Pelodiscus sinensis: one gene and its partner. Each later gene encodes a partner of the first gene's protein in a complex. Links are inferred from orthologs where the notes say so. Each region holds a gene or a part of one and is shown in the gene's direction. Other genes may lie near its edges.

Region 1 (7,092 bases):
TTTGGCTTCTAAACCCCCCAGCCTGTTGCTGAGGCTGCTTCCTCCATCCTCCCAGACAGAAACTAACTAACTTTCCTCCAGCCCTGCCCCCCAAACAGGGCAGCATTCACCTTCCTTTATTCCTCTCCATGGGGGTTAGCTGGTCAGACGGTTGAGAGATCCCTTTGCATAATGACCCATCTCTGTCCTTCTGGGCTGTGGTACCGGCGGCAGCCAGTGGGGTTACCACAGACCCATAGAAACCAGCAAGTTCCCCCCCACTACGTCACACAGACTAACTCAGCTACCCCTCTGAAGCTTCTCATTACAATGTACAGCAGCTAATGAACTAAACATTATGGCTGCGTCTAGACTGGCATGATTTTGCACAAATACTTTTAACTGGAAAGTTTTTCCGTTAAAAGTATTTGTGCAAGAGAGCGTCTATACTGGCATGTGCCTTTGTGCAAAAGATTTGCTTTTGCGCAAAAGCATCCGTGCCAGTGTAGACGCTCTCTTGCGCAAGAAATTAACTTGGCTATCTACAAGTATTCTTGCACAAGAGGGCTTATCCCTGAGTGGGTGCGTCGGAGTATTTACACAAGAATCACTGATTTTGTACAGTACAAAGTCAGTGTTCTTGCGCAAATACTCGCGGCTAGTGTAGACAGGCGGCAAGATTTTGCAAAAAATCAGCCGCTTTTGCACAAAATCTTGCTAGTGTAGATGCATCCTACCTGTGTCGATGCATTCATGTTTCTCAATTTTCAGCACACTCATGCAGCTGTTGCACTATAAGGTACGTCTACACTGCAAAGCTCTTTTGGGATAATGGAAGTATCTCAAAATAGCTATTCCATGTCTACTGAAGCAGCCTATTATTTCATTTCAAAATAATGGGTGGCTTATTCTGGTGTTCTGGTAATACTCGTTCTATGAAGCCTAAGGGGAATTTCAGAATAGTGAGTTATTTAGAAATATTATGAAACAAGCTATTTCGAAATACACTAGGAATAAGCTACGGAAGTTGTGTAGCACAAATTATATCACTTATTTCGAGCTAAGGGTGCTGTGCTAAGGGTGTTCGAGCTAATAGTTAGGCCTGGAGTTACATTCACACTGGCATCTTTAAAAACTCTCTAACTCAAGATTTATTCTTACATGGTCAGCCAGTAAGGCATGTGGAGTAGGGATGTGAATGGTTAACAACACTTACTGGGTGATACTTAGTGGTTATAGTTAACTAGCAGGGGCTAAGGCAACGACCCCATTCACTGCAGGCAGGGGGCTGCCCCAGCTCCATGTGGTTCATGGCAGGTGGGAGATGTTCCAGAACGACTGGAGCAGCCCTCTGCCCTTGGTTCCAGTCCTGCCCTCCTACTCGCTTGTTCAGCCAGTTAAACATAATGGCTACATCTACACGGGCATGATTTTCCGAAAATGCTTTTAACGGAAAACTTTTCCATTAAAAGCATTTTCGGAAAAGCACGTCTAGATTTGCGGAAAAGCATCCTGCCAAAGCATTTTTTGCAGAAAAGCGTCCGTGGCCAATCTAGATGCGGTTTTCCACAAAAAAGCCCCGATCGCCATTTTCGCAATCGGGGCTTTTTTGCGGAAAACAGTACTGTGGTGTCTACACTGGCCCTTTTGCGCAAAAGTCTTTCAGAAAAATACTTTTGCCCAAATGGGAGCAGCATAGTATTTCTGGAAAAACACTGATGATCTTACATGAGATCGTCAGTGCTTTTCCGGAAATTCAAGTGGCCAGAGTAGACAGCTGGCAAGTTTTTCCGCAAAAGCAGATGATTTTGCAGAAAAACTTGCCAGTCTAGACACAGCCAATCAGGGGCAGGTGACTGTTTTGTGGGGCCCCAGGCAGCATAACTCCGCGGGGGCCCCCCCTTTGCCACGGCGCATGCGCGGTGGTGCCACGGCACATGCGCGGGGCCCAGGGCGGCCGCCCCGTTCGCCCTGCCCTATATCCGCCCCTGCAGCCAATGTTTAAACAGGATTTTACATCCCTAATGTGGAGTTTCCTGTAGTATTGATGTCATGTCAATTTTTTTCTCTTTGTAAGGAATTAAAGATACATTTTTTTTTTACAACCTGTTCCTGCTACAGTTGTCTCATTCCTTGTTGCCTCTGACACTTCTAGTTGCAGTGAAGACTTTTAGAGAAAAAAATTCCCCTTTTTGAGGAAAAAAATCATTACAGGGTATGATTGTTAGACATGTGAATTGACCCAGATGGACTACATTGTCTCCGTCTATTAGCATTGTTATATAAAAACAACCTAAATGGGATGGAACACTTAAACAACAAAGGAAAGGAATGTGTATCTAAGGAGGAAAGACTCATGAGAATAATAGTACAGTAATTCCTCATTTAACACTATAGATAGGTTTCAGAAAATGATCGTGTTAAGTGAAAACGTGTTATGCGGGGTCAATTTTCCCACTGAAAATAATGGAAAAGGTGGGGGTTGTGTTTCAAGCGTTAGTGTCTGTAGAGACCAGGACATAAGGTTGGGGGAGAAAGGGGACTGGGTTACAGCAGGGAGAGGAGGTGTTTGGCTCTGGGGAAGGGAAGGGGAGGGGGACTGGGTTGGGAGTATGCCCCTGTGACAGGTCTGCCGGGACCCACACTGCGTCCAGCGTGGGCAGGGAGGGAGGTTGCCGGGGAACAGCGAACCCTCTTCCGCTTTGCAGGGAGGCCTGGGAAGACCCGCGCAGCCGCTGGCAACAGGCCAGCTGGGGAAAGAGTGTTATTCCGGGGACAGTTGTGTAATTCAAGAAAGTTCCCTAAAAAAAAAAAAATTCATGCTATCACAAAAATGTGTTAAGTGGGCAAGTGTTAAATGAGGAATTACTGTATCTGACAGTGCTTTAATTTCATTTTTGTTTGTTGGATGGATCTTACCCCTCCCCAGCATGTTATTGCAAATGAGGCAAGGTAGGGGGTGTACTTGATTTTTTACATTATTTAGCATGGTTGCTGAAACTAAAATACAATCTCTGTAACAAATCAAACAGTTTGCTATAATTATGTCTCTGTCTCTTTCCTGCTCTACCACATCCTCTCTGCCAAATGCATTAGGGTTCACCGTTCCTGGGATATTTTGTTCAGGCAGCCGTCTCTATTATTTAAGCAAGGAAGGAAAGAAAAACAACTTCTATAATCAAAACGCAGAGCTTGCACTTTAGCTTTACCGACTCTAAGTAAATCAATCTAGTACTCACCTATCATGCTCTGATTGAAGGATGGAAAATCCTGTTCAATCAGTTCACCATTCGGTGTAACAGCTTAAATGGGATCCCATGGGCGGAGGGTGGGGGGGGCCGCGGGGAGCTGCTCTAGCCCAGCCACATGCAGCACAGCAGGCCCAGCCTGGCTGGTGGGGACATCCCTACTCTGATTATGGCAATAACAATTAACCACCCAATACGCTGCCGAAAGGGCATCTCGGCCAACAAAAGTCTGTAGCCTGCAGCAGGGAGCGGCACGTGGACACGGTCTGACCCCCCAGAAGCCACCAGCGCAGGGGGCTGGGCAGCAGGACGCCTCGGTTCTGCTGCCGGGCTGGGGCGGGGGGGCGGTTGCAAACGTTAAGGGCCTCCAGGCCTGACGAACGCGGCTCCGGCTGCCCCAGGCGCGCGCTCCAGCTCGCCCGGAATCGCGGCCGCTGCGCCAACCCCAGGCGCGCGCGCGCTTACAAAACCCAGGAACACGTCTCGCTGATTGGCGGGAGGGAACTAGACTCCCCACAAAGCCCCACCTCTCTGGGTCGGGCCCGTGAGCAGGAACCAATCCCGCGCCTCCCTCCGGCTCCCGATGGGGCAACCGCCAGCCAATCCCCTGCCTCTATATCTCCCGGCCCCTACACAAGCGCCGGGAATGTTGAACGGCAATGTCGCAAACACGCCGTCCCTGAGCCGGTGCGCGGCTTTACGGCAGCGGCAGCCAATCCCTTGCCTCCCTCGGGCTCTTAGTGGGGCAGCCGCTGGCCAATCGTCGGCTGCGATCTCTCCCTTCCTCCTCCCATAACGGCCTCGTGTGCGGCGCGACAGTGTCGCAAGCACGCCGTACCGGAGCCGGCGCGCGGCTTTACGGCAGCGGCAGGCCGAGCTCGCAGTCGGCGGCGGCGGCTCGCAGCCGCCCGGGGGTTGCACGCAGGCGCGCGCTCGCGCGGGGAGCTGGATGCCCGGGGGCGGGGGGAGCCCGGCGCCCTGCACTGTGCTGGGCGCGGAGGCGGGGGCCCCCGGCGGCGGGGGGGAGGCGGGCGGCGCGGGGGCCCCGGCGGGCAGGATGAGCCTGTCGCCCAAGGAGCTCTCCAGCCTGCTGAGCATCGTCTCGGAGGAGGCGGGCGGCAGCACCTTCGAGGGCCTGTCCAGCGCCTTCCACCACTACTTCGGCAAGGCCGAGCACTTCCGCCTGGGCTCGGTGCTGGTGCTGCTGCTGCAGCAGCCCGACCTGCTGCCCAGCCCCCCGCAGCGCCTCACCGCGCTCTACCTGCTGTGGGAGATGTACCGCACCGAGCCGCTGGCCGCCAACCCCTTCGCCGCCATCTTCGCCCACCTGCTCAACCCCGCGCCCGAGCGCGGCGACGAGGCCGAGCGGCCGCCGCTCTCAGGTACCGCCCGGGGCTTCGCCCCCGAGAGTCACCGCAGCCGCTTCCCTGGGCCCGCCGGGGGGGTGGGGCCGGCGCCGCTGCGGGGACTCCCGGGCTGTGGCCGCTCAGCAGCGATCGCACCCGAGCCTTTCGGGGGAGACGGGCAGCGGCCTGGAAGGAGGCCCCGCTCGGAGTGATGCTTTATTTCGTATCCACTGGCCCTGAGCCTGCCCCGGGTGTGTCTGCCCCAGCATCCTCCCCGGGTCTGTGCGAGTTGGGGCGGTGAGGTGTTGACTGAGAGCCCAGATGCGGGTGTGAGTGAATATTTCACAAAGAAGTTTTCAGGAGGTTAAGTACATTTTTGTTAATTGGAGAACACTTCACTTCAGCACCCATCTCCATAGTTCTTAACTCATCTGAACTGCTCTCTAGAAAGCAGCAAAAGAAACCCAGGTAGTTCTCAGGTCAGACACTTCATGCCTTCCAGGCTTTTTGTTTTAAAACACATGGTGAAAGGCTCATCACTTTCCTTTTGCAGTGCACTTTAAAAGGCAAAATGTTTAAAAGCACATTTGGCAATGGTCATACTCTACTCACAGTGCACATCTCCCTGGCTCTCAGTTTTGGGGACATTACATTAAAATCATGAAAACTGAGGAGGTCTACATAAAAATAAATTCCCCAGTCTAAATCAGAAGGATTCTTACTAAGGTAACTAATATACAGAGCAGATAAATTGAAGTGAGATGGGCATGCTCAGTTCCATTCCCCAGCACTGGAGCAGCCATGTAAGAGGTGGTTTTTTTCTGGGTGTTAGAATGTATGCAAAAAGTGAGGCTTTCCTGTCACTGCTCCCTCTGTTTCCAGTACAAATGCATCCCTATAATAGGGTCATGTCTCTGTGATCCAGGGCTGGAGGGTGACGCTCTGTCCAGATATTTATCTGTTTGGGGGCAAGGAACAAAAAAAAATAATAATTTTTAATTACCCCCCCACCCCTCGAGCTAGGGATCAGAGTGATGTGTTACTGAGTGGTGCAAGGCCCTGTTGAGCAGTGCTTTTACGTATTTTATTTTCAAAAAGGCACTACAAGGAAAAGAGGGTGTGGTGCATTTTGCTGTTTTACAATGCTTTAAGAAAGCATGAAATACTTTATGCCAAGGGTGGGGGCCCCAACTTTTTTTGGGTTGTGGGGGCCCCGAGCCACATAAAAATCAGCTGGGGGCTGCGCACAAGTGAGAAGCAAAAGGGAAAAAAAACCCACCTCACAGATGTGGCCCTCGAATGAAAAGCGGAAATACTCCAGACATTCCCTTTCTCTTGCATGCCAGAGCCTATGGGGGCCAGGCTAGTAGATTTTGTGTGCTCCAGCCCTGTGGTGGGGGAGGGAGGGCTGGAAATGCCAGCGTGGGCTCCTCAATGTTGAAGGGGAGAGAGCCCTGAGCCTCGGGCTGGATCCAGGCAAGCCGGGGGCTGGATGACCTTAAAAACCCTGCTTTTTAAGGGTTTGTCATGAGAATTACCAGGGTTTGCTTCACTGCTTTGAAGAAGTGGAGGGAGTAATATTGATGCTGAAACCAGAGGGACAAAAAGAAAAGGAATTTGAAGGGGGAATGGGTTTAGTTATTACTAATCACACCTGAGAAACATCTTCTGTTCCTGAAAAACACTGGGGAAAAAAACAGACAAGTTCTGTGGAAAAATTCAGTGCTCTACCCACACTTTCCTGCATAAGAGCTAAGGGAGGTCCCACTCATGCTTTTTAGGAGGAAAAAAAACCACTTTGTTATTCCCTGTATTTTTAGCAAACTTTTTTGCAGTATTCTCCAAGCTCTTGTAGTGACCATTTAGAGTGTGGGGAAAAGGAGTTGAACTTGACCAGCAATACTCTAGAGCAGTGGTTCCCAACCTTTTTGATACTGGGGACTGACAAACCCATTCACACACTTTTGGTGGACTAGTAATATTTTATTTGCATATTTGCGTGTGTTTTATGCAAATGATGAATTTGCAAATACAACATCAGTCTGCCAGAAGGCCCAGCCCCCAACACCTAGAGCCCTCCGCTACCCCCTAGCACCAGCCACTGACCTAAGTCCCCTGCACTCATCCCCCATTTCTCAGAGCCCCCCGCCACCAGACCCCCCCAGTAACAGCCTCCTCTTTCCGGAGCCTCATTGTACCCATTCCCCCCCAGTGCTAGCCATGGCCCCATAGATCCCCTATTACCAGCTCAGCCTCCAGAGCAACCCAGCACTAGTCCTGCCCCTAGAGCCCTCAGTGCCTGCTGCGACCCCCTCACCTAGCCCTGTGGTGCTGTACGTGGCTCTGGGGGCTGGAGCTGGGGAATACCACCCAGTGCTTCTCCTCCTGCCCCATTTCTCAGCCAACCAACAATGGCAGGTGCCAGGACTCCAACTGCAGAAGAGTGTTTCTCTGTGCAGCTGGAGGGCCACATGGCTTATGGTCTCCTCCCGGCCACATAAGTGCTTACCTGCATGTTG
Region 2 (7,855 bases), on another chromosome or scaffold:
CTCTCATTTAAATAAGAAATTGTTTTTGAATAACTCTCCCAACAGAGGACTGAACGGCCTAGATAAGATTTCCAAGTATAAATCAATCCAGGTTGCCTGTAATCAAAAGCAGCTCCCATTTCTTGGCTATTTGGTGTCCCGTCCGAAATTAGTTTGGTTCCCAGTGGACAGGTATCCATACTACAAAAAGTCACCATTGCTATTGAAAAACGTTGGGCTGGCTGTCTCATGTCCTTGCAAGGGCTTAACAGAGCTGCACACTCAGTTCTGCTTGCAATGGTTCTGTTTTGGCAGGCCTACTCTTAGGGGAATTCTATGCTATTGTGCACATGTATAATTCATGTGCCCTGCAGATTTTTTTTCACATTCTGTTGGAGAGGCAATCCAATTAGGCCTTTTGCCCACCAGGGGCTGCTGTGGTGCCAGAACAGAGGGCAGCAGGCTCACAGGCCAGAGCAGCCAATTGTGGAAAGGCAGGAGAGGCAGTGGTCCTCACAACACCCCGCCAATGGGGCCAAGTGAGGAAGCACCCGATATGGGGGGAAGATATACAAAGCAGAGCACACAGGGCTGGGGAGGCATCACCTAGACTAGGGCTCATGAGGGGAGAGACTAGGCTGGGTGCTGAATGGGAGGTGCACGGGCAAATTGGGATGGGGGGACAGAGTGGTGGCTAAGTGGGAGTACAGGGACACATGGGAATGGGTGTGTGTGCAGGGACTAGGAATGTAAAATCCCATTTAATCAGTTTACCAGTTAAATGTGAGGTTTAACTGGTTTTAAGTGGGATCCCAGGTGGGGGACTGTCCCATCCCGGCTGAAGCAGCCCCCATCCCACAGGGCTGTCAGCTCTGTGGGCTGCTTCTACCTGGGCCCCACACGGGGCTCCTGGCTTCACGTGAGGCTGCCAGCTCTCACCCCAGTCTGCAGCGAGTGGACCTGGCAGGGCTGGAGTAGCCCTCCACCCGCAGTGGGCCATTAGCAGCTCCCAGGCTCCGGTTAACCGTTATCTTGTAAGCCTCACCCAGTTATCCATTCACATCCATAGCAGGGAAACATGAGGCTTGGAGAGGAGGGGTTGTTGAGAGGGAGTGAAGGGACAGATGGGGATGGGCAAATATGTCTGAATGAATAGGAGAGTTGAGGGGTCAACTAGGGTCTACATGGAGGAGGCTCCCCAATTCCCTAACGCTCCCCCTCCCAAATAAAAAACTATTAGGCAATTCCCAGCCATTACTTCCCTCTCCTTTAACTCCTCCATTACCCCTCACTCCCTCAAGCCTTTGAGCTGCTTCTGAGGGACGCGGGAAATACATTTCTATATTGTCGTTTAAATGAATTATTACTCAAAGCTCTTTATTAATGTACCTAGTAAGGAATCCATTTGTCAAAAAACATTTCCTTAATCTTCTTGTCTTTATTGTCGCAGACATAGTTGCTGACAGGTATTTTCAAATAAATTACCAAAAGAATTGAAACTGGTGTGATTGTTAATTTGACAAATAAAATATAGACAATTTTAAAATATTGTGCACATAACTTTTAATTTTTGGAACAGAATTTCCCCAGTAGTACATAGAGCATTAATGTATAACTCGTGCAACTTAAAGGCTATATGCTGCAGCTGAGAAAGCAAAAAGGGAATAAAAATAACTAATCTGGAAAGATAAGCTTTATATTCCTAATAGCCTCAATGATAAAGTTCAATAAATACTGAGTTACAAAAGCACCATTTCTTTGTTTGTGATAGAACGATGAACATATGCTGACACGGAAGAGGTCACTTACTGGAAAATGATAAATTACTTTCATAGTGCTTGGAAAGTTGTCTGTGTGAAGGGTTCAATCGTAGGCACTGACTTTTCTTTCTGTCAGTAGGTGTTTTTGAAGAGGAGTGTGCACTTGGGGAGATACCCTGTCAGTTTTGGGGGAGGCTATTTTCACAATATATTTAAACACTTTCATATTTTAATTATTGAATGTGCCTATTATTGGCATCTTTACTTTTGTAAGAATGATTCAATTATTATGAATTACATAATTAGATGATCATGAATTATTGTATATTAAAATTATTGCAATCACCTACATGTTGTCTTCACTAACATCCCAGTTTAAAGACATATCTCACTGTAGCTTTCCGGATAAAACTGCAAGCAATCTAATTTACATCTAGGTTCCCTGCTATTGTTTTGGTGCATGTTAAGGACGCTAAGAAATTATTCATTTGTGCCTATCCCATTGATGACTGGAGATAATTTTTAAGTGTTCTGAAGCTGCAGAACGAGTTCAGGATGATTCAGGCACAAAGAGAAAGATTCTATGAATCTGCAGTACTCTACAGCAAATGACTCCAAAATCTCTTTGTTGATGAGTAACAGCCAATTTAGGCACCAATATTTTGTCGGTATAGTAGGAATGATATTTTACTACATGCATTACTTTGCATGTAACATAGAAGTTCAACTGTCACTTTGTTGCTAAGTCACCCAATTTTGTGAGATCCCTTTGGAATTCTTTGATGTCTGTTTTAGACTTAGCTATCTTGAGTAATTTTGTATCATCTGTAAACTTTGGCACCTCAGTTGATCCTTTCTGAAGATCATTTTTGGATATGCTGAATACCACGGGTCTCAGTACAAGCTCCTTGGGGACACCACTCTTTATCTTTCTGAGAATGGATTATTTATTCCTATGGTTTGTTTCCTGTCTTTTAACTGGAGTACATGAGACTGCTTTCAGGATCATCTAATGATTCTTAATTAATGACAAGCGTTTTGTTATCTTAATCATCCTGTTCTGTATATAAACAAACTCCCTGCCCCAAGGGCAGAGGTTGTTAGCAGCACAGAACTCATCACATTCCACAATCCAGCTCTGGTCCTGGGTACTGAGCATCCACTATTTTTTTTGGGTGGGTGTCTGAGCCCTGGAGCACCCATAGAGTCGCCCCTATTGGTAGGATGAAAGGACAGGGATACTGAAATAAATCTGATATGTGAAATGAAACGAGTTCCAAAAACCTGTCTAACCAAGGCACCAAACCAAGATTCAGTAGAATGAAAGAAGTCACCTAACCCTGAATTATGGGAAGAGAACAACCTCTGAAGCAGAGCATCTACTTTCATGTTTTGTAAAAAACCTTGGGACCTGTCAGTCAAGGGCTTCTTCTCCTTTAGTAAAGCCAGATGCAGACAGGCAGGTATCTCCCTCCCTCAGATGCAGACCCCTGAGAATCACTTCAGAGCAGCAAAACCAGAGGCAAAGTGGAGGGCATAGTCCTCATGGACAGGAATTACGCTTCAGCATCTGATCTGCTGGGGATGCGTGTTAGTGATGCGCCAATTAACTGTGGCAGGCTAGGGTTGGGCCTGTAGTCTCCAAGGAATCCTGGCATAGACAGCGATACCCTAGCCAGAGTGAAGTCTTCCGTAGCTATTGGTTGTGATTAGATCTGAACGGGTTGTCCTGAGTCTAGCTCCTAAGAGTAGTGGGAAGGCTCATCACACCCTGTTATTTCTGAAACATACACAGCAATAACCTGGACAAAACTTATTGAATTAACTTTAGATACCTTAAGAGTTCATTGTATTAAAATTGCAACTGTTTATGTTAAAATTATGGGCCAAACAAGATTGAATTTTTAGTTAAATGTGTTTCCTTGAAAATACTTAGGAAGAGAGGAAGGCAAATTACCCACCTCTAGACCCAGTCTTTTGAAACTGCACCCTGAGGATGCGACTTTTTTTTCCTGATCACCTTTTTCGTGAGGACAAGAACAGAGGCCTAACCTGTATAATGGCATGACTCACAGAGATGCTTGTTCTGGGTTCAAAGCTGTTACACGTTTGTGATCACAGAAAATCCCCTTGGTGGGATGTAAGAGACTGATCAGCTTGGATGTAGGGAGCCTTTGCTGGGAGAGGGCAGGCGAGCTGATTGTCACGTGAGAAGACTCTTGTTTCTGTATGATACTTTTCATTTTACGAATACATGTACCTGCTCAGAGGAAAGACCACAGAGCTGTTCTGGCACAAACCCAAGTCAGCAAGGAGGGTTTTTACCTGGACAGGCGTCCCCAGGCGTGCTTGGGAACTCAGTCTAGATGGGCGCGGCGCAGCCTGGACCATCCCAGTCAGAAGAAGCAAGGCAGGTCTGTGCCCAAGGGGGCAATGGCTGCAAGCTGGGAGCCTAATGTGGGTACCCGGGGGGGGGGTTGCCCCAAAGGGAGAAAGGGGGGGACTGAGTCCTGCCACCCCAAAGATCCCAACTGGACTGGGGGGGAAGTAGGAGCTGGGGGGTGGGCCGGCTTGTGTCAGCCCCGGGGCCCGGCTAGGAGCGGGGGGGGGGGGGGGTCCCGTCAGCCCCGGGGCCCGGCTAGGAGCGGGGGGGGGGTCCCGTCAGCCCCGGGGCCCGGCTAGGAGCGGGGGGGGGGTCCCGTCAGCCCCGGGGCCCGGCTGGGAGCGGGGGGGGGTCCCTGGCTGGGAGCGGGGGGGGTCCCCGTCAGCCCCGGGGCCTGGGGTCCGTAGGGGGTGGAGAGCGGGCCCGGCTGGGAGCCGGTGGCCCCGTTTCGCCTCTTGCGGCCAGCCGGGCGCAGGGAGCCGGCTCCCCCCGGCACCGCTCTGTCCCCCCCGCCCATGGGCTCGCCCGTTCCGCCGGCCGTTAACGGCTGGAGAACGGCATTGCTCCCCCCCCTCCCTTGCGCCGGCGCACTTCGAACCAGACGCCCCGCCCCTTTGTCCCGCGCCCGCGGGCAGCCTATCACCCCGCCGCACCCAGCGCTTCCCGCGGGAAGGGGGCTGCGCGCACGCGCCGTCTGGGCCTCCGTCCTGCTCCACCGGCGCGTGCACTCTCGCGAGAGCGGGGGGACAGGCCGGAAATCCTGACGCGGCCTGGCGGTGGTGTGGCTGCGCGGGAGAGGTCCGCCAGCCCGCCTGACGGGGGGAGGGCGGGAAGGAGCAGACGAGCAGCGGCCCCGCGAGCGGCTAGAGCGGCCCCGCTTCCCCCTCCACGCCCCGGCCCGCGCCCTCTGTGCGCCTGTGAGGAGACGGCCCTGGCGGAGAGAGCAGGTGCCGTGGGGAGGCCCCGTTATACACCCCCGGCGGGAGCGGGAGCGGGGGGGGGGGAAGGGCGGGATTAGGGGGGAGCAGGGGAGGGGGTCTGAGGATGGAAGGGGGAGGGGACTTGAGGAAGGGGGGGTGGAAGAGTGCAAGGGGGTCTGGAGAAGGGGGAGGGGAGAGTGCAAGGGGGAGCGGGTCTGGGGGAGGGGGTCTGGAGAAGGGGGGGTGGGAGAGTGCAAGGGGGAGGGGGTCCTCAGGAAGGGAGGCCCTGAGGGGGGTGAAAGGGGAAGGAATAGGAAAGGCTGCAGTGGGGAGCAGAACCCAAGAGACCCCATGGCTATTGAGGGTGCAGTCAGTGGGGGGCATTGGGATGCAGAAAGTTGCCCATGGATTATTTTTGTGGCTTTTTATTTCTGTTGTGAGAAATGTAACTTCCGCTTCCTGAAGGAAGGTGGAAAGTCGCTGGTAGTTATTTCACTGCCCTCCTGTGGCCTGATTCAGCCCCTTCTCTTAAAGAAGGATTTACCTGTCCCTTCATGAGACAGTCCCAGGCAAAGAGCAACTGCTTGCTGCTGGATAATTTCGTGGAAGCCTTGTTCCCTTCCCAGATCACAGGTGTGCCCTCTTTCTCGAGAACAGTAGCATTCAGACTTCTTGCAGTGTGAATCTGCCACCAGTCAGAAGTAGATGTAGACTTCAGCTTTGCCTGTGTATCCCATTCCTGAGTTGCCCACAAATCCTTGGAGGCTTGATTGGGGCTGCCAACAAGTATGCCATTTATGTGGAGACCTGCCCACTAATAATTAGCCATGGATAGTATCTCATCTTTTAAAGGCTGCCAACAAGCCAAAGTTTCAACACCATAATTACAAGGGTGGTATATTTCCCCTTCTATGTATCACGGCATTAAAAGAATTCTGGGAAAGCTAGAGTTGGCAAGAACCGAAAGGCCTACACTGATGACATTAAACTTAAAAACAGTAGTTCCTTGACAGGTAAAACAATATTGATCAGTATCTGCTTTTATAAAGCTTTTGATGGACTGTTTGGCTTCACTGCAGCTTCTGTAAATAACTCTAGATGCTTTGCATGTTGTTTCTAGGTATAATATTGGTTCTCGTCTACCCCTGGTTTTCATACTGCTTTAACTATCAGCATAATCCCCTTAGGGAGTGCAGTTATACCAATGTATTTTGTCTCATAAATGTATTAGAATAATCTTAACTGTTAATACTGTCCACACAAGTGGTTGTACTGATGTAATATTATCAGCATACAACCACAATCCTTAATGGAATAGTTAAACTTCTGCAAAATCTTTGTAGAACAGGTCTTGGGGAATTGAAACAGAGCAGCACACATCTTACAAATAACAGTGTAGTAAGAAGCTATTTATTCTCACTTTCTAGCCCTAAGAGAAAAACACTGTAGCAAAAGCAATACTAAATTAAGGTATTAGTTCTAAGACTGATAAACTGGGTTTAATGAGTTAATTGAGTAGTGGATTAGGAATTTCCATTGACTATTTGATTAGTCGTTAAAGGGGGCAACGGCAGAGCTGCAGCACGGTTAGCTCCCTGCCCTGGGAGCTGCCCGGCTCTTACTACATTTAAAAGGCAGACCTGCAGCGGGGGACTGGGTGCGAGCCGGGACAGCTGAGTCCTGGCTTGCGCCCATTTGCCTGCTGCACCTCTGCCTCCCCTGCAAAGATGGTGCTGGGGGGGAACCTGCTTTTAAGCTGGCTCCCCCCAGCACTGGCTCCTGTTCCCCCCCCCCCCCATTGCTGCCTCTGATAGAGGCAGCAACAGGGGGGAGTAGTGACTCCACTAGTCACTTACATCCCTAATTAGTTTTCTTTAGGTTTGCAAAAATAGGCCTTATACTTGAAGTGTGCAGACTTGTTTCAGTTGGACTTAGTAATCCTGGATATCTTCTGCCAATTTAAAACAGAAGTTTACTGCATATTACAAAAATGTTCTAAAAGCAGAAAAGAATTTATTTTAATAACTCAGATATGCCAGCTGAAAGGGATACTCCAGACTAGAAACATTCCATACTAACTCACTGTCTGTATTTTTGTTCTGATTTGTTGAGATGTATTAATGCAAAGTAGCATGTTTGTGTGTGTTCACTGCGCTATGCCAGTTAGGTTTTACACTACCCTACTTACTTTCCAATTTTGATATTAGGTGCTTCTACTCCAATTCCTGCAAGATGCCAGCAGCACTTGTGGAGAACAGTCAGGTTATATGTGAAGTATGGGCAAACAATCTGGAAGAGGAGATGAGGAAAATTCGAGAAATAGTTCTCAGCTACAGCTACATTGCAATGGTAAATATGCTGTACTTCAGTGATCATCTGCTGACTAACCTGAGAATTTCAGTGTGGGTAGCTTACTCACTTATTCATAAATATAAGCATTCCAGGGTCCGTTTAAGCTGAATATTAAGGGGGAACAGTTGGAAAGAAGCTTGGCATTTAAAATTTTACATGACTTTTTAAAAATACATGGTCTTCTTCCAATATCTTGCTTAGAGTTTTTGTAGATTCTCTGAAATCACGTAAGTAGACAGTGCGGATTGAGGGCATGCTGAACAGATGAAATCTGTAAATACTTTTTTTGTTCATACAATAGAGTTTAAAAACATGCCTACTTGGTTCTAAGCTGTTTAATGTAGTTAGCATATTTTTAATTTGAATGGCAGGTTCATATTGGCTTCCTGCTGATATATGGCAACAGGCACACAAGTCACAACGTGTTAGCTAATAGGATTACTCTCTTTTTGTAATAAGGC

The links. The genes of interacting proteins can lie anywhere in the genome.
Region 2: CNOT11 (region 1) and CNOT8 share a complex: the UniProt entries of both Homo sapiens proteins name them as parts of the CCR4-NOT complex. The link is inferred for Pelodiscus sinensis from reciprocal best matches to the Homo sapiens genes CNOT11 and CNOT8.

What each region holds. Positions count from the first base shown.
Region 1 is NC_134711.1:230,737,476-230,744,567, forward strand, and holds the start of CNOT11 (CCR4-NOT transcription complex subunit 11), read left to right. Parts: upstream 1-4,075; 5' UTR 4,076-4,176; coding exon 4,177-4,609; intron 4,610-7,092. UniProt on the Homo sapiens protein: Component of the CCR4-NOT complex which is one of the major cellular mRNA deadenylases and is linked to various cellular processes including bulk mRNA degradation, miRNA-mediated repression, translational repression during translational initiation and general transcription regulation.
Region 2 is NC_134727.1:38,147,962-38,155,816, forward strand, and holds the start of CNOT8 (CCR4-NOT transcription complex subunit 8), read left to right. Parts: upstream 1-4,837; 5' UTR 4,838-5,069; intron 5,070-5,668; 5' UTR 5,669-5,828; intron 5,829-5,957; exon of another isoform or gene 5,958-6,055; intron 6,056-7,249; 5' UTR 7,250-7,274; coding exon 7,275-7,391; intron 7,392-7,855. Other genes in the region: FAXDC2 (fatty acid hydroxylase domain-containing protein 2), read right to left, coding at 4,065-4,130. UniProt on the Homo sapiens protein: Has 3'-5' poly(A) exoribonuclease activity for synthetic poly(A) RNA substrate. Its function seems to be partially redundant with that of CNOT7.